Linked DNA regions of Macaca fascicularis. The protein of the gene in region 4 purifies or fractionates together with the protein of the main gene of each other region. This does not show direct contact. Links are inferred from orthologs where the notes say so. Each region holds a gene or a part of one and is shown on either strand. Other genes may lie near its edges.

Region 1 (3,500 bases), on a different chromosome or scaffold from region 4:
AATACAGCTTACAGGGGAAGTGCAGGAAATGGATCTAAGGGAAACAGGTACGTGAGAGGCGTGGAAATAGTAACAGATAGGTTGTTGGAGTTACCTACAGGTACACAGTTAGAATGTGGCAAAGCCAGGACTCAGGGCTCTGGCTCCCCAGTGATAACCAGTGTTATGGAACTGTTCAAGGTCAAGTTACTGCAGAGCCAAGACTAAGAGAAACAAGTTCCCTAACTCATATCCAAAGAGTTTCTCATTGCCTGAGCCCAGGAGTTAAGAGCTTGCAGTGAGCTGTGATCATGCCACTGTACAGTTGGGCAACAAAGTGAGACCCTCACTCTAAAAAGAAAAAAAAAAAAATCCTCTCTCCCTCCCAACCACCATCCCCCATCATCCACACCCCATCTCATCACTCAATCCACTAAAAAGAACAATTGATTTATGCTAATGAGGAGGTCAATGCCAATGGTTAGGTGTAGGAAAACAGGAACTCTATAAAAAGAAACTTCTAGAAGCCCTAAAGCTCTAAAAGAATCATAAACAAAGACTTCTGGGCCTAAAACAAGTCTTTCTCAAATTTCAGAGTGCATAAGGATTGTCTGGATTATTAAATGTAGATTACGTGGCCTACAGCAGCAGTCAATCAGTAAACAAGGCCAGGAATCTGCAACTCTAACAAGCATCCCAGGTGATTCTGATGTGGTTAGTCAGTGATTAACCCTCTGAGAAACATTGCTTTTAGAGTTCAAACTGCACAAAACAAAAAGCACTCAAAGAACACAAGGGCCAGGCATGGTGGCTCATGCCTGTCATCTCAGCACTTCGGGAGGCCCTTGCTGGTGGATCCCCTGAGCTCAGGAGTTTGATACCAGCTACTTGAGAAGCTAAGGTGGAAGGATGTCTTGTGACTGGGAGTTTGAGACGAACTTGGGCAGCATAGTAAGACACTCCCATGACCCCACCCAAACGTGAAAAAATCAGCCAGGCATGGTGGCACATGCCAGTAGTTTCAGCTACTCAGGAGGCTAAGGTGGGAGGATCACCTGACCCCAGGAGTTTGAGGCTGCAGTGAGCTATGAGACACCAAAGCACTCCAGCCTGGACAACAAAGCAAGACTATCTCTTAAAAAAAAAAACACACACACACACACAAAGAAATTTTGGGATGTAACAGATATGTTTAGTACCTTGGTTGTGGTGATGATATCATAGGTGTATGCATATATCCAAACTCATTAAGATGTATGCATTAGATGTGTGCAACTGCTTGTATATCAACTATACCTCAATAAAGCTTTAGCCAGGAGTGGCGGCTCATACCTATAATCCCAATACTTTGGGAAGCTGAGGCCGGATAGTCCCTTCAGGCCAGGAATTCAAAACCAGCCTGGTCAACATAGGGAGACCCTGTCTCTACAAAAAATTTAAAATATTAGCCAGGTGTGGTGGCTCATGCCTGTCATGTCAGCTACTCAGGAGGCCAAGTCAGGAGGCCAAGGTGGAAGGATCACTTGAGCCCAGGGGGTCGAGGCTGCAGTCAGTGAGCTGTGATCATGCCACTGCACTCCAGCCTGGGCGACAGAGTAAGACCCTGTCTCAACAAAATAAATAAAATAAAATAAAATAAAATAAAGCTTTCAAAGGCCCTATTCTAAGAAATAAAGAACCAATAATTAATGAATTCAGAAACACATCTCGCCACATGTTTAAGAACACCACCCTTAGCAGAAAAGCAGAAATACTTCAATTAACACAAATGTCTATTAACTCCAACCCTCGTTCCAGCCATCCTACAGACCCATGTCACTGACCTTGGCTGCCAAGGGTAGATGCAGCCGTATGGTAAGTCTCACAGTCCACACAAAATGTTCCTTGCTTCTCTGCCCCAAGCATCTCCAATTTCCGGGTAAGGAGCTCTACGGTTTGCTGAACACTCTTGCCCTCAGCCACAGGCATCTGGGACACACTGGAAAGGAGAGCACCAAATTGTCAGTTATCCAGAGACACACATGTGCTCACTGAGCCACTCACTCGCCCACAGCATCACAGCTCGTCAGGGCCAAAAGTTATCTTGGAAATTACCTACTCTGACCGTCTCCCAACCCCTGCAACTTTATTATAAATTTTAAAAAAAATTTTTTTTGGCCAGGCATGGTGGCTCATGCCTGTAATCCCAGCACTTTGGGAGGTCAAAGTGGGCGGATCACGAGGTCAGGAGTTCAAGACAAGAATGGCCAACATGGTGAAACCCTGTCTCTATTAAAAATACAAAAATTATTTAGCTGGGCGTGGTAGCAGGCGCCTGTAATCCCAGCTACTTGTGAGGCTGAGGCAGGAGAATCATTTGAACCTGGGAGGCAGAGCTCGCAGTAAGCCGAGATTGCACCATTGTATTCCAGTGTGGGCAACAGGGCGAGACTCGATCTTAAAAAAAAAAAAAAAGTTAAGACCAGTCAAGTGCAGTAGTTAGAATGGGGAAGAGTAGAACAAGGAGTCCAATCTGTAACCGAATGTGAACAATCAATTAAGATAACTCATTACACTTGGACCAGTCCCCCATTTTAAAGACAAGGAATAGAGGACCACTGTCCCTGAGAGCCCCTCTAAGAACTGAAGCATAGTTCTCAGGATTCTCACACCAGAGCAATGAACTTCCTATCATGGGACATTCTCAAGTGTGGCATGCCGAAGATTCTAGATGGCACACAGGCTGAGCATTCAATAATGCTGAGTTATATAATGAAAAAGGGATTCCTTTTGCAACTCTTTCAGTTCTGACTACATCAAGGACAAAGTCTCAGTTTGGGTTAACACGTTTTTACCAACTCTGTGGAGCTGTTCAGCACAGTAGCCCAGAGCCACAGGTGGCTGGGACTAGTGTATTGGACACTGCTGTTAGAGAACATTTCCATCATCACAGAAAGTTCTAGTCAACAGCCCTAGGAACAGAAAAAAAGCAGCCTTCAAGTTTATAATCTTCGGGAATGAGAGGCAACAGTATTCACAAAAATTGAATCAAAACAATGGAACAAAACAAAACAAAAAAAACATTTCCAAGGTTTCCTCCTATGGTGAGTGAACCTCATATGGTGGCTTCCCCTTTAGAGTGGTAGGTAACAATTGCCAACCAACAACGTGCCAGTCTGCGTCCTAAGGCCTTTAGATGAATTAACTCTCCAAATCCTCACAATAGTCCTATGAAGATGTTATTTATCAACTTGTTACAAATAAGGAAACTGCCGGGCACTGTGGCTCACACCTGTAATCCCAGCACTTTGGAAGGCCGAGGTGGGAGGATCACTTGAGGTCAGAAGTTCAAGACTAGCCTAGCCAACATGGTGAAACCCTGTCTCTACCAAAAATACAAAACTTAGCCAGGCGTGGTGGTGTGTGCCTGTAATCCCAGCTACATGGGAGGCTGAGGCAGGAGAATTGCTTGAAACCAGGAGGCGGAGGTTGCAGTGAGCCAAGATCGCACCACTGCCTTCCAGTCTGGACAACAAGAGCGA
Region 2 (2,901 bases), on a different chromosome or scaffold from region 4:
CACCCCTGGCATGGGCTCGCTATGGGGATTAAGTGCGATGTTTGAAAAGTACTTAGCACAAATGCTGGCCACCCAGTAATCCAAATAATTGGTGGCTTTGAGAGGGTGCTCAGCCCTGTGAGAGACACTCAAAATCGTCTGAGAAGGATTTCAACCCTGCTCCAGTGAGGGTGGCTCCTCCTCCAGTCACAGAAAGGCACCCCCCACCCCGCCGCGCCCCACCAGAAGAAAAAAAAAAAAAAAAACGCAACCACGGATGGCCCAGGGGCTCGTGACAGGCACTGGCAGGGATGACACGCCAGGCAAACTGCCCTTGAGGCCAGCCAGGAGAGGAGTTCCTGTTCCATACTGGTTCAGCAGGTGTGTGTCCTGGGGCGGAGGGAGGTGATAAGCAGAGGTGTGGTTCTGTGTCTGAATAGACAGAAACATTTTTCTCTCAACTCCCTGAGAGCCATCCCACTATGAATTTCTCAGTCCAAAAAGCATGATGTCCTGAGACAGCAGAGCGTAAGTCCTTTTAATTATGCATTTGAAAAATGTTACAAGTCAACAAAGGAACACAAGGCAGGCTCCGGCTCCCTCCGCCCCTACGAGGAGCCCTTGTCCATTTCAGCCTTGCACTCAGAAAGACCCTGGGGGTCTTGTATTTTCCACGTGCTTCATGTTTCATGGTATCTGTCAGAGCCTTAAAACTGGCCCACCCACTACTGTGAAATTTCAAGGAAATAACTGATTCAGTTAAATAACAGTCCCAAGGTAGAACTGGTCTCACAGGTGACCACTCGCTTAAATCCAGAGCCTGCTTTTCTGCCCAAAGCCACTGAAATCTGATCTCCTCCTTCACACAGCCCCAGGTCCCCAATATGCCACCCACCTTCTGACACGTGGCTACAGGTCTACACTAATGGAAGCTCTGCTAAAAACATCTCCACCCAATCCTCCTGCCAACGAGGTCAGTTGACGGGCATCTGTTAAGCCCCTAAACTGGTCAGCGCAGGTTATGTGCCCATTCCTAGACCCAAACAATACTCCAGGACTTCACACCTCCTCCTCGAGAGGAAAGGGAGAGAACTGCTCTTACCTCAGTCTGACAGGCAAGGGAGAGCACACAAACAAAACGTCCCATCTGGAAGAAATCAGGGAAGCTGGGGAAATGAGGGCTGTTCACAAACTTTTAAGAGCTCAAACTTGGCTGTGTAACTTTCAGACCTAGCTCATGGTCGGGGACCACCTGAACTGGCCCCCAGGGTTGCCGCTCTCTGAACACAAGGTGCATAGTGAACCCCTCTGCAGTGTAGTACATGTTGCTGCCACAAGTGCAAAGGCCAGAAGGAAAAGATCTTTTAACCAGAGCAATGGGAATCTGAAATGCCAGAAGGGGGAAGGTCTGTTCGCCTGAAGACCTCTTCGAGCCTGTGTGGAAAGGATGGCCCCTTGTCAACCCTGGGGAAGCACATCTGAAGCGTTTTGTCCACTCTTGGGCACTGACTGAGGGTGATGAGCGAGGAAGGGAGCAAGAGGTGACCGCGAGGAGAGCCCAGGAGGCAGGGAACCTGGAGGAGGCAGGGAACCTGGAGCAAGGGGCTGCCTGGCAGGGCTCTGGGCTGACACCCCCACAGCTATAGTTCCATTCACTGGCTCAAACATAAAAGGAACCAAACTGTTTGGGAAAAAGGCCACCCTCTGGCCTTTCAAAACATTATCTCACAGTTCTACGCCATATGAGCGCAGGCTTAATTCATCCAGTGAATTCTATGCAAATGTTTCAAGAAGCTGCTTTAACGGGAACAATGTGTACCTGGTACACACTGATCCTATGGGGGTGGGAGGAGAGGGAGGGAAGGAAGCAAAGAGGAACTGCCTCCCTTCCTACTGTGCTCTTCAGATCTGTCAGTGGAGCCCGGCGCAGCAGATGGCCCCCTCCCCAGCGGCAGGGGAGAGCCCTCCACCCCCTCCGCTGCCTCCAGGAGCATTCTGACTTCCACCAGCAGGCACTCCAGTTATTATGCATCTAGACATATGGATCTACACGAAGAAACCCAGCGCAGCCAAGCTCGGTGCTGGCTCCCGCACAGGCGACGCACATGCAGCAGCACAGGAGCCCCGCCCCTGCACCTTGAGGTTCTGAGCTGGGGTCCACAGGAACCACGCCCCAAGGAGACTTTGGGGATGGTAGTGGGGAGACAGGCCATTGGCTTCCCCCCGTTTCTCAGGAAGTCGGCCTCACTCTACTCCTTGGGGATTTCGAACATGCAGAGGCTCTTGTACTTTTGCAGAAGCTCGTTCTTGGTCCTGACTTGCTCCCGGAGGCTCTGCAGCTGCTGCTGCTGCTGCTCAGGGCTCAGGTGGATGCCGGGCATGGTGCTGATGAGCTTGCGCATCTCCTGGAACTTGGTTTTGAGGGCGTTCAGGTCCTGGTGGACCTCCGGGCTGTCCTTGTCCATGCTGTGGGGGAAGAACAGCTGTTAGCATTCGCAGCTTGATACATGTCTTGGCTTTCCCATCCTGCACCCCCCAGAGCTCGCTGTCATTCCTGCGATAGCTTTTAGAACACTTCATTTTATGTGTCTAGCCTCTGACTAGGCTGTCCACCCCCAGAGGAAGGGACGGGTTCTCTTTTAGGCAGCCAGCAAAGAGCTCCCAGGCCTAGAACACTTGCAGATCACACACAGACACTCTTGATCTTCTGTCAAGTCAACTGTCACTCTGTGAGGTCAAGGACCATGTCTGTCTGGTCACAGGTGTCTCCCTACCCTCGGCCCAGTGTGTGGCACACTGCAGGCACTCAAGAAATGTCTGTGGAAAGAATGAATGCTTGGCAAATAAGCTCATGAACATGTTGGTTCAATTAACAAACCAATACCAATATCAGGTGACAAATGCCAAACAAAACTTGCTAAA
Region 3 (2,971 bases), on a different chromosome or scaffold from region 4:
TTTAGCATCTTTTGAAGATATTTGTTTGAAACATTTTTTACTGTGGTGATTTTCGAATTCTGTCATTCTGCATTTATTAGTTTGGAATTCGATTGTAAGGCAGTACATTCCCTTGTTTTCTATTTATTATTTTATTAAAGAAATTTACATCCATTTAGTATTTTATCCTGTGAATTAGAATTATGTATTTTCTTGCTCTGAGTATTCTAGATTTGGCCATTGGGAGTCCCTTCAAGTTGGTTCCTGAATACTTTTGATCGTCCCAATAATTTTTAGCACTTTTTCTTCTGGCACTACGTAATGTTCCAGGCTCATCTTGTACTTTCCCTCTCTTATCCCTGAATCACCCTTTTCTCCAAGGAAACCTGCTCCTTGGATACCACAATCTGGACATTGTGTGTTCATTAGTACCACAGTGTCATTGCTTCTAGGCCCTCTCAGTACACAAAGCTCAAGAACTCTATGTTTGTATGTGTATCCATGCACACATGTATACATCTGTTTATCCTGTCTACCTATATTAAAAGCCCTAAGTACATACTAATGTTTTCAATACCAGCTCAGTAACACAGGATTCATTCTAGCCTTTTTCCTTTCCTTGTCGAAATTTGGCTGTCCTTATCCACAGTATATTTACTTGTCCAATCCTAGAGTATATCTAATTTCAGAGTTGGTATATCCCTGTGGACAAGAAGAGTATAATGTATGTGCATAGTTCTCTTTCAAACCAACTCACTTTTAAATGAAAGTTGTCTTTTTATCACTATTGATGGAAAAACAAAGAACTATCAATTAAACACAGAATTAGTAAAATATGTTCATGTTCTTCACGTTGGAAACCACTAGAAGGGAATAGCATGGTTTGTCCCTACATTTTCACTCTGCTTACCAGTTACTGTGTTGTGTGGTCCTGAGCAAGTTTAAATTTAATCTTTCTGAACTTAAACCTTCTCACTTTCGAAAATATTGCTGAACACTGACCTTTGATGACCAATCAGGGAAAACACCCTATGCTGCCAGTGTGTACTAAGTTAAAGAAATGGTAGGCTACAAGATCATTTTTAAGAGAATAACTTAATTAGACCTTGGCATTATTTACTTAAATTATGTTGTTCATTTACTTATAAACTTAAACCCAGGTACCCTCAGTGTTTACACATGTTAGAGCTGCTCCAATACGAACACTTCCGAAAGGAGCTGGTGAATGCTCAGTGTGCGAAATTCATTGATGAACAGCAGATTCTACATTGGCAGCACTATTCCCGGAAGCGGATGCGCCTTCAGCAAGCCTTGGCAGAGCAGCAACAGCAAAATAACACATCGGGAAAATGAAAAACCGGATACAGATGAGGCTCTCAATACATGTATATAATGTATTTCTTTTGTACAGTGAAGACAAAAAATGAAAACTCTTCCTATCTACCTTTATTATGGTAGCCCCTAGAACCTTTAGTGTGCTTTTTAATCCAACTTTTTATTGTTAATAGACTATTTCTTTTAAACCTGAATTGGTCTACTTTGATTTCCCTGTGGATTTGTAAGGTGTTTTCTTTTGTATGCATTTAGCATAGTCAGCTGATTAAGAATGGAAAAGTTAGGTGCTTTAGACCAAATGAGGCACTGGGGCATGGGGTAGGGGTGGGCCACCAAGTATACTGAATTCTAAGGCTAGCTCTTCCTGACATATAGTAGCGCAAGGCCATCTCCTGGAACCTTACTGTCTCTCAGATCAACTACTCTACCACTCTTATCTATGTAGTGAGAGTAGCGGAGTCAGTGACCTCTTGAAATCACAGGATAGGAACTGCATAAAGGTTCTCAAATTCTGCAGGACAGGAAATCCCTGTATTACCTGCTTTGCAAGGTGGCTTTAAGAATCACTGTGGCCTCATTTGACCTAGTCATGGCAGGACAACTAGTGGTTAATTACTAATTGGACTCTTGACTTTAGAACAAACATGAGGAGCCTCAAATACTTGTGCTCATTTGGGAAAACTAACATTGATTTGGGAGGTACCACATACCAGGTGCTATGTTAAGTGCTTCCTTGAATTCTCATTTTATTCTCAGAACCTTGTTTACAGAAGAGAAAACTGAGGTTTGGATGGGGCGGGTAACTTGCCTGTGGTTACACAGCTAGTAAGTGGTAGAATCAGTGTGACTGACTCCAGCTTGGAGTTCTTCCCACCACTGGGTTACACAGTCTTTCCAGCCCCTCTCCGCCACCTGCCTAATCCCAAGTAAAGCACATTGAGAGAGCCGCAAAACGAACTGCCTCTAGTGCTCAGGATCGGTTTCTTCATGAACAAAACAAAACTGCCTGAATTAAGCAGAGGCTGGATTAGAGGTAATATGCTTCCTTCAGTGGTGAGGTTAGGTTCTACGTTCCAAAATCAAAGAAGGGGTTTCAGGAATATCAGTTGCTTTGCAGATGCAGATAATTTAAAATAAAAGATCCTGATCTTTTGAAAGATTTGGAAGGTGTGCTCTGCGCCTTTAGGAGTTTTTAGGTATTTCCGTCACCTTCAATGATACATTCCTTTGAGCCTTTACTGCTACTTCTGAAGACTTGTTTATATCTTAAAAATATCCATATATTACAGGCAAACTAAAGGTTCATGGGCATTTTAATAGCACTCTACTGTTTAGACACATGCCAGTTTTTTAACCTCATTTATTGCTAACATGTATTCAAAGCAATATACAGTTTATTGATACTAGAACAAATCAGGAAATCAAGACATGATTGCCATCATAAAATCTTAATCTTCAGAGAACAACATTTCCACCAGGTTGGCCTGAAGACACTCAGATTCTACCAGTTTTTGAGGCTGTAAGAGAAGAACAGTCAAATCTTCACTACTCCTATAAAACGTTATTAGGAGTGGAATAGGTTCTGCCTTGAATGACACTAATCTTTGAACACAGAAATTATGCAATTCAGAAACTATCAACTAGTTATAACAAGTTT
Region 4 (4,006 bases):
GTCAAACTGAAAAATCCCTGTAATTTTAAAACTCTCCAAAACTATCTCTAAAAGATAGTAATTTTAAAACTCTCTTGACATTTGATCCATTAAAAACAGAAGTTCATCACATAAAGAGAATCATTAAAGACTGATGGAAAACAAACGCCAAGGATTACAAATAATAAGCTCTTTTTTCCAAAATGCAATGTTACTTTTCAGCTGTCACGGATGACTAAGAATGTCCATACATTATACCTTCAACTATCTTTAAATTCAAAGATATTGAAATTATTCTTTCAAATTATTCTTAACAACCTAAATTAAAACCGGACCATGGAGATATAAAATATTTGCTTAAGTACCTCCTGCCAATACACAGTATTAGTTTTCTAATAAAAGTACAACGTTAAAACAAATATGCATATTTTATTAGCTTAAGTTCATAGTTTTTGAAAACAGAAGCGGCTTCTCTCACACAGATTAAAAATAATGCAAAGGCGCTAGAATTTTATATAACATGACAGTGTGGTCAAATGCACTGTAATGTCTAATCTCATGGGATTGGGGATTTTATGAATATGCCCAAAATTACATAATACTGGGGGAAGGAGAGATGGTTTAAAGCTTTTGAGAAATATTGTATGGTAAGTTATCAAACATAATTTTTAAAATATATGTCATTACAGAGTAAAACTTCAACAATAAGTCTAATTAGACATCAACAGAGTCAGCAGTATCTCCAGACGCTGATTTCTCCAGTGCTAAAAAGTACTTTTAAATACGTGCGGCGCCCAGAGTATCAAGTTTTCAAATCCAAATCCCTACCTTCTGCCGATCTGTTCCACTTTATTGTGGCATAAAAGCACTAAAATACATATTCCAAATTAATGAGAACTCTTATCTTCCTCGTAGAGTCCATTGTAAACACTTTTAGAAAGATATTTCAGTAAATCTAAGAAAAATGTTGAATAAATACACACTTTCCTTTCCAACATCCAGAATACTAAAGTATTTATAAATATGCGCCCCCCTCCCCCACACTAGGGAACTTCAGCTTTATGAATTTTTTTTCGTGCTAATGTAGTCTGAACATACTCTCCTAATCTGAAATTTTAAGTGATTAAACATCATATAGCAGGTAACTAAACTGGAATGTTCCAGTAAAGCTACTTCGTTTCTAATAAAATCCAAAGATTATATAATAAGCTTTGACTTTTCAATAATTTTCTATTCTGTCAAAGGCAACAGAGACAACATCCATTTTACAAGAAAACATGGAGTTAATAAAATATATATTATTCCCCCCCACTAAGAACTGCCTTCTCTTTTGTCAATATTACAAGACATTCATCTACTGACAAAGAGAAAAAAACGAACAATTCACTTGCCTGTTAAGAAACTAAATTGGAAGCATTACCACTCATAGGTTTAATTAAGTTGTTACTAGGGAAGAATATTTAAAGCAAAGGGATTATTTAAAGTTCACTGCCAGCCGCTAAATTTGGGGGAAACAGCCTCAACGAGATAGTCCCTATGTCACTTGTCTTCTTCCCCACCACCCACCCTGCACCAAACCCCCATTGTTCTATGTAAAAATTCACAGCTAATAATATCTAAATAGCAACTGCAACATGTATGGTGCAGATGATCCGTATGGGGAACTCTCTCCAGAACTACATTCACTCGCTGCCTTCCTTCCCTCAAATAAAATACAAATTTGATAAAAAATCGATCACAAACTGGTGGGGGAAAGGATCACAGCCTTCCTTCTAGACCGATGGATGACACTCCCGAGGCGGGTGAGGAAATCCCCAGAAGGTTACCATAATAAATCGACCAAGGAAAAAAAAACAAACAGAAACATTTCACCCGGCGTTTTAGAACGCATTTTTTCATAAATCAGCTTTGAAATCCTTGAAAAGTATATAGCCCACGGTGCAGAGGCTCCTCTTCCCTCTTAGCACCGAAGCACAACACAGATGCGGCACGCAGGATTTCTTGTGGCTTTGGATCCCTTGTACACCACTTCCTCCCCAAACCTTGCTGGCGGAGCCAGAGGCCGGCGTCGAGGAAGTCAGAGCCCGGCACCCCGGCGGCCCGCTCTCCCTCCGGGCTACCTGCCTCGGCCTGCGGGAGCGCCGCCCAGCGCGGACACCGGCCCAGACGCACACACTCACCCATCTTTCCTCTTGGCTTTGTAGACGTGACCATAAGTGCCTCGGCCAACTTTGCAGCCCTCGTATTCAAACAGGTCCTCGACCCGCTCCCGCTCGCTGCTCAGCTTCACTTTAAAGTCATAGTCCATTGTCACAGCCTCCGAGGCCGGAGAGCTGGGTCGGGGGGCCGGGGGGCAGGGGTGGGGACCGGGGAAGCACGGGCAGCCGCAGCCCCCGGGAACCCGCCCGCTCTACGCCCGCCGGCCGCAGCACCAGCCCGACTGATGCGGCAAGAGCAGGAGGAGGCCCCGCGAAAGCGCCGGGGACATCCAGGGGGGCAGCGGGGCAGAGGCCGGCCGGGGGTGGAGGAACGGGGAGGATCCCCCGGCGAAGCAGAGCCGAGGGACGAGGGCTGGGGGTGGGGAGCGGTGTCTCTGCCCTTGTCCCCGCGGGCTCCCTGGGCGCCGGCTCCGCCGCTCTCTCCGGTCGCGCGTTCTGCTCCTGCTGCGGCGGGAGCGGCGGGGCGGCCAGGCGGGCTCTCGTCCTCTCACACGCGCACTCACGCCTCACGCGCTCACACACACGCTCACACTCACTCACTCACTCACTCTCCCATACACTCAAACAGAAAGGCAGCGCCGCACAACAGCCGGTACCTCCTCAAAGAGAGGAGGAGGGAGGGCACTCGCGGAACACGGCCGCGGCTGTCGCAAAAACGTCGCGAAGCCTCGGGCTGCCTCCGAACCACCCTCCAACCCGCTCCCGCGGTGGCTGGCCGCCCCTGCTGGCGCTGGCACCCTGAGGACCGTGTGGAGGGAGCAGGGGAGCCGCTGCCCAAAGCTGCCGCAAAACGCAACACGTGGGACCAGCCCCAGCGGTGGCCGGTTCCGAGACTACAATACCCAGAATGCATAGGCCGCCGCCGCTGCCGCCTCTTCTACGACTCCGCCCCACATGGTGGGAATATGGGAGCGTTGCATGTTGGGACTCGTAGTCTAGGGTGAAATTCGTTTCAATCACTTGGGGAAAATTTATTTTTATTTTTATTTTTATTTTTATAGCGATCTAACTAGAGTCTGATTCCAGCCATAAACTTGACCAAAGAGATGCACGTGGGAAGGAGAGTAGCTTTAGAAACACATTTTGTGCCACTCTGAACTCCAGATGTTAAAGGCCACTGTCATCTATAAAAGCGGATATATTTGTAAACAGCTCGCGGGCCAGCAGTTGGGGTACTCTTGGTGTTCACAATCTGATAAGGGCTGCACAATGATGTCAACATACTGACATTACAAGCTCCAGTAAAAGTGAATCAATGACTACTGTCCAAGCTACTTCTAAACATTGTTACTCTTGTGACAGATGACCATCCAACCTTTCCTGTCCATTTATAGGAAGTATTGAGTACAGTACAGCCTTCTGCGATGCTCCCCATAAGAACACCAGTTTCTAGCTATGATTACAGAAAGGATCTAAATCCATGGGAACTAGTTTGTTAATAATTTTGCGGTAGCAGTATGTCCTGCTTCAGGAGTCCTGCTTCAAGATTGATACTAATCTATCATTTTATCTTATCCCTCTTATTTGTCTGTTTTTAATTTTTGGTTTCCAATTGTTACCATTTCCACTAAAGCTCCCCACTTCCCAAAGGGAACTTTGCACTTTTAATGTGAACTTTTTAACACTTTTTTTCCACCTTTCCTGTGTTATTTATCAAATTCCGTTTCATCTTTTATTTCCTCTCCCTTGCTAGATCCTAAGTTGTTATAGGAAGTCATATTTGCATCTTCCATAAAACCTAGTGTCATGCCTTGATAATGATGCACAGTAAACACTTGTTAAATTAATGAATGAATAAACATGTTTAT
Region 5 (4,024 bases), on a different chromosome or scaffold from region 4:
GTCCTTGTTCTCGAGTCTTCTCCTTCTTCCAGAGGTCGCAAAATGGCGGCCTGGCGGCCTCATTAGACCCACAGGCAGATTTTGTTTGGTCCTCACAGTGTTTTTGGTTTCAATTTGAATGCCATTAGGCGGGGCAAGCACTCTCCAAGTTCGCCACAGTCCCCATCATTCCCTGTTGTCTTACACCCGTCCGCTTCACACATTTTCATCACCTGCCTGGTCCCTGAAGCCATCTGAGTTTTCAAAAACCCCTGCTACACAGGCTGCCTGGGAAATCCCCCACTTTCACTTCTTCGCTGTCACCAGTGCCTCCTGCTCCACACGCACATTCCTGAGGATCGCCTAGAGAGCTTGCTCACACGACTCCCACACCCCCGCCCTCCCCCCGCTGGATCCAGCAGTTCCAGGGCAGGGATGGGAAACTCACATGCCTACAGGGGCCAGGCGGGTCACATAAATGAGTGAACTAGCCAGGTATAAGAAAAGTCGACGGCCAGAAATATCATCAAATCGGATCTTTACTGAACTATGGTGAATGCATGGAACATAATACAAACATGGATGATACTGGAGTTTATATTTTTAAATTCAAAATTGAAAAAATACAAATTGAAAAATAGAAATATTTAATTATTAAAATTCTCTTTCATAATTCTTTTTGCGCCTTTGAGTTGAAGCCAAAAGGCTGGCGTCTTCCCTTCCACACCGAGATGTGTCAGGCCTTGGGGTGGCACGGTGGGGATGGGCAGTTTAGAATTCAGCCTTGAATCCTTAAACTGGGAACAATGTTTAATTTGATTCAGGTTCGTAACGGAAAACAGCTGTTCACAAGCGTGGGTACTCCCAAACATGGATATTCAGGACAACTACTGGAGATAGTTGTAGAATCTCACCATCTTCACACAGACTTGTATTTAGGAACCAGCGCCGTATTGCACCATAGTTCAATTACTATTTATGGTCTGTATTCACACAAGAAACATTTACCAACAAAGGCAAACTGGACAGTGTCTCTTCCTTCTCATGAGTCTGGATTCCGAGGGCCTTTGGGGGAATTTGGTCTTCCACCCCAGGACGTAGGTGAATATAGTCCAGGCCACGTCTTTCACTTCTGAAAGCCAACTGTGGCGTAGGAAAGAGTAAATGTTTTTTTTCCTTGCTGGTGGATTCCCCGTTTTTGCCAGGACCAAGCATATACCATCTTACATTCAAGTAGCTGTTTGTGGACATCCTTGCAGAGAAATATTCAGTGTTCAGAACGGTCATAACCTTGACCAGAAGTCTTTGACTAACCTTCTCAGGGGAACCCACTGTGGCTTTTGCTTGATTTAAAATGAACCAAGCTGATTAACTTGTACAGTTTCAATTTCTTCCACAACCAAGTCACAGAGCTTCTGTGAAATCTCTCAGGTCAAGTCATCATCAACTCACTCGTGACTAAAGCCCAGGAGCGGAAGTGTCGAGAGCGTCACGGTGTGTTCTGTTCAGCTGCTCAGAACAAGTCAACTCCTGATGATGGATGCAACGACCCGACTTCCGTGTCCTTGCCAAATTGTCACCTTGGCTCAAGGTGTCCTGTCAAGTCCCCCTGTCATGACAGCTGTCTGTAGTTGTGCTTCAGAACTCTGGCCAGTCTATGTGAAACTTTTCTCTCAATATACAAAAAAAAAAATGAGTCCTTTCCCAGTGTTGGGCCCGCCTTGGCACCATGCCACAGACTTCTTCAGTCACATCAAGTTTCTTAACACCACAAATAAATAAAGCTAACTGGGTGGTAATAGTTTATGAGCAGCGAAAGAAAAGGCCACAATCAATTTGACTCTTTCAAGCAACTGGACTTCTAAATCCCCCGAGTTATCTCCAACTCACTGTGCAACGCAAATGCCCGTTAGACTTAAATAATGGTCTCAACAGTCATGTGTTTCTGTAAAGGACACGTCACTCTGCTCCTTTATCAACTCGCCATCTGCTGTAGCTCTGAATGCCCAGGTCATTCTTCTCACGTGATTCCGGAACGGCGTACCACTGCCGCACCACTTCTGTTAATTCGCTTTTCAAGACAAACCCTACTGACATTTGAGTCCCTTTTTCAGTTCGCTGAGGATGGCGTCTCGAGTCTGCTCTGTGTACTGGTCGTAGCTCTTGCTATGCTTTGATTCGTAGTGGCGTTTCAGGTTGTATTCTTTCAACACAGACACGATTTGTTTGCATATTAAACACATAGGCATGCTCTTCACTTCCACAAAGAAATAGGCTCGCTCCCACTTTTCTCGAAACACGCGGCCCTCTCCTTCTCTCTTTCGTTTTGCCGCTTGTGATACAGACATGAGTACAAGAAAGATTTCACTTTCCTCTGAATGCTACCACAGAACAACCACAGTGCAAGCCCCGTGACAAAGGCAGTGACTCTCTGCCTCACAGGGGAGCCAAGAGGGAGTGGTGGGGACTGTGGCGAACCGGAGAGCACACGCCCCATGGAGAGGGGCAGCTCCAGCCCGTTGTTGCCAGGCAGAAGGGCGGGCCCAGGGGTGCCAATTCTTCTGACTTGTCAAAAGATGCCAAGACTGCAGATTTTGCGTGTGTGTGTGTGTGTGTGTGTGTATTAACCTGATTTTTATAACTAACTCAAGAAAAAAATGCCACATATGCTAACACAGGGAAGGCCAAACAAAACTCATCTGCACCATGGCCCATAGGCCACCAGATTGCAATCTCTCTCCTGGGGTGGGGCCTGTGAATCTGTACGTTAACCAGCATCCAAAATGATGTGGATGCTGGTGGTCCAGGCATGGACCGCGCTCTCAGCAACACTGGTCCAGAGTCCGACAACAGACAACTCACTCTCCACCTCCAGGAGAGACCGCCCTGCGCTCCAAGCCTGTCTGGATCCCCTGCCCTCAGGATGTCTCTGAGGCCATCCTTTAGGTCCCTCACCTTGCCACATCCCAAACCTGTTCCCTGCTGGGTATTCCATCCTGGGGACAGACCCACCGTCTTCCCGTCCACAGCCCTGGAAGGTCAGTCTCTGATGTGGACCCAGGGACCACCCTCTCTCCATGTGCGATCTTGTCTGCTTCTGTGGCTTGAACCCCAAACATACACTGTCCTCTAAGGACACGTCCTGAGCTCCCAAAATGGCACCTGTCACCTGGACGTCCCTTGGACCACGTACACTTACTACCAGCTCCTTCTCCCAGGAGCCCCACCACCTACCATCACGTAGGCCTGACCCCAGAAGCCAACCTCTACCCCAGTCCCCAGCATCCCCACCACCCAGCCTCACCCTTCCTGGCCTCCTGTCTGGTCTCATCACGCTCCACAGCTGAGAGGGCTCTTTCTGACATCCAGAGCCGGCCTAAGCCCGCCCCACCGCTCAAAGTCTCCTGGTTCTCCTGTGTCCCCAGGACAAACCACGGGCTGCTCAGTTTGGCATCTGAGCTCCTCAAACTCTGCACCTGCCCATCTCTCTACACATGAGCTCCCTACACGCTCATGCTCCAAAAGCATCCATCAATTTGCTCCTCTCAACATCCCAGGCTTCCTCCTGTCTTTGAGTATTCAAAGTTTCTGTTGTTCTCTGCACCCAGATCACCCCTCACCTCCTTCCCTCCCGGCCTGACAGCTGATTCTCTTTCAAGACTGAGGAGCTGGGGCTGGGTCAGACACCTCTTCCAGGCTCCCATGGTGCCCCGCCACCTCCATGAGAGCTTGAGTCCTGAGCGCTGCCTGCCTGTCCCTGCATCTCCCACGAACCAGGTTGCACCAGACTGCCTCTGACTCACCACGGAGGCCCCGGCGTCACCCACCCAGGGCCCCAGGGATATCTGCTGAAGTGAGAACAAGGACAGAGATGCCCCCTGGGGTTTCCTCCTGCCCAGTCCTGGGGGATGTCAGTGACGGGAGCCGGGGCGTGTGTTAAAAAGGAACTTTATTGGGTGTTGGGGATTCAGATGAGATCCATGAGGATGTCGTCCTCCATGACGCTGGGCTGCAGGCCCGGCTGGGGGACCGGGCCTCGGGGACC

What was found.
Region 1: the proteins of CDK8 (region 4) and MED20 purify together in Homo sapiens (affinity purification with mass spectrometry; 8 studies listed by BioGRID and IntAct, counting the BioPlex papers as one, with this or other methods). This does not show direct contact. The link is inferred for Macaca fascicularis from reciprocal best matches to the Homo sapiens genes CDK8 and MED20.
Region 2: the proteins of CDK8 (region 4) and MED9 purify together in Homo sapiens (affinity purification with mass spectrometry; 10 studies listed by BioGRID and IntAct, counting the BioPlex papers as one, with this or other methods). This does not show direct contact. The link is inferred for Macaca fascicularis from reciprocal best matches to the Homo sapiens genes CDK8 and MED9.
Region 3: the proteins of CDK8 (region 4) and MED31 purify together in Homo sapiens (affinity purification with mass spectrometry; 7 studies listed by BioGRID and IntAct, with this or other methods). This does not show direct contact. The link is inferred for Macaca fascicularis from reciprocal best matches to the Homo sapiens genes CDK8 and MED31.
Region 5: the proteins of CDK8 (region 4) and MED25 purify together in Homo sapiens (affinity purification with mass spectrometry; 8 studies listed by BioGRID and IntAct, counting the BioPlex papers as one, with this or other methods). This does not show direct contact. The link is inferred for Macaca fascicularis from reciprocal best matches to the Homo sapiens genes CDK8 and MED25.

What each region holds. Positions count from the first base shown.
Region 1 is NC_088378.1:129,652,266-129,655,765, reverse strand, and holds part of MED20 (mediator of RNA polymerase II transcription subunit 20), read right to left. Parts: intron 1,958-3,500; coding exon 1,803-1,957; intron 1-1,802. UniProt on the Homo sapiens protein: Component of the Mediator complex, a coactivator involved in the regulated transcription of nearly all RNA polymerase II-dependent genes.
Region 2 is NC_088390.1:17,591,592-17,594,492, reverse strand, and holds the end of MED9 (mediator of RNA polymerase II transcription subunit 9), read right to left. Parts: intron 2,446-2,901; coding exon 2,229-2,445; 3' UTR 501-2,228; downstream 1-500.
Region 3 is NC_088390.1:6,686,294-6,689,264, reverse strand, and holds the end of MED31 (mediator of RNA polymerase II transcription subunit 31), read left to right. Parts: intron 1-1,139; coding exon 1,140-1,332; 3' UTR 1,333-2,471; downstream 2,472-2,971. Other genes in the region: TXNDC17 (thioredoxin domain-containing protein 17), read right to left, coding at 2,763-2,831. UniProt on the Homo sapiens protein: Component of the Mediator complex, a coactivator involved in the regulated transcription of nearly all RNA polymerase II-dependent genes.
Region 4 is NC_088391.1:6,305,606-6,309,611, reverse strand, and holds the start of CDK8 (cyclin-dependent kinase 8), read right to left. Parts: upstream 2,801-4,006; 5' UTR 2,288-2,800; coding exon 2,160-2,287; intron 1-2,159.
Region 5 is NC_088393.1:57,821,044-57,825,067, reverse strand, and holds the end of MED25 (mediator of RNA polymerase II transcription subunit 25), read right to left. Parts: coding exon of another isoform or gene 3,947-4,024; exon of another isoform or gene 3,912-3,946; intron 2,312-3,911; coding exon 2,067-2,311; 3' UTR 501-2,066; downstream 1-500. UniProt on the Homo sapiens protein: Component of the Mediator complex, a coactivator involved in the regulated transcription of nearly all RNA polymerase II-dependent genes.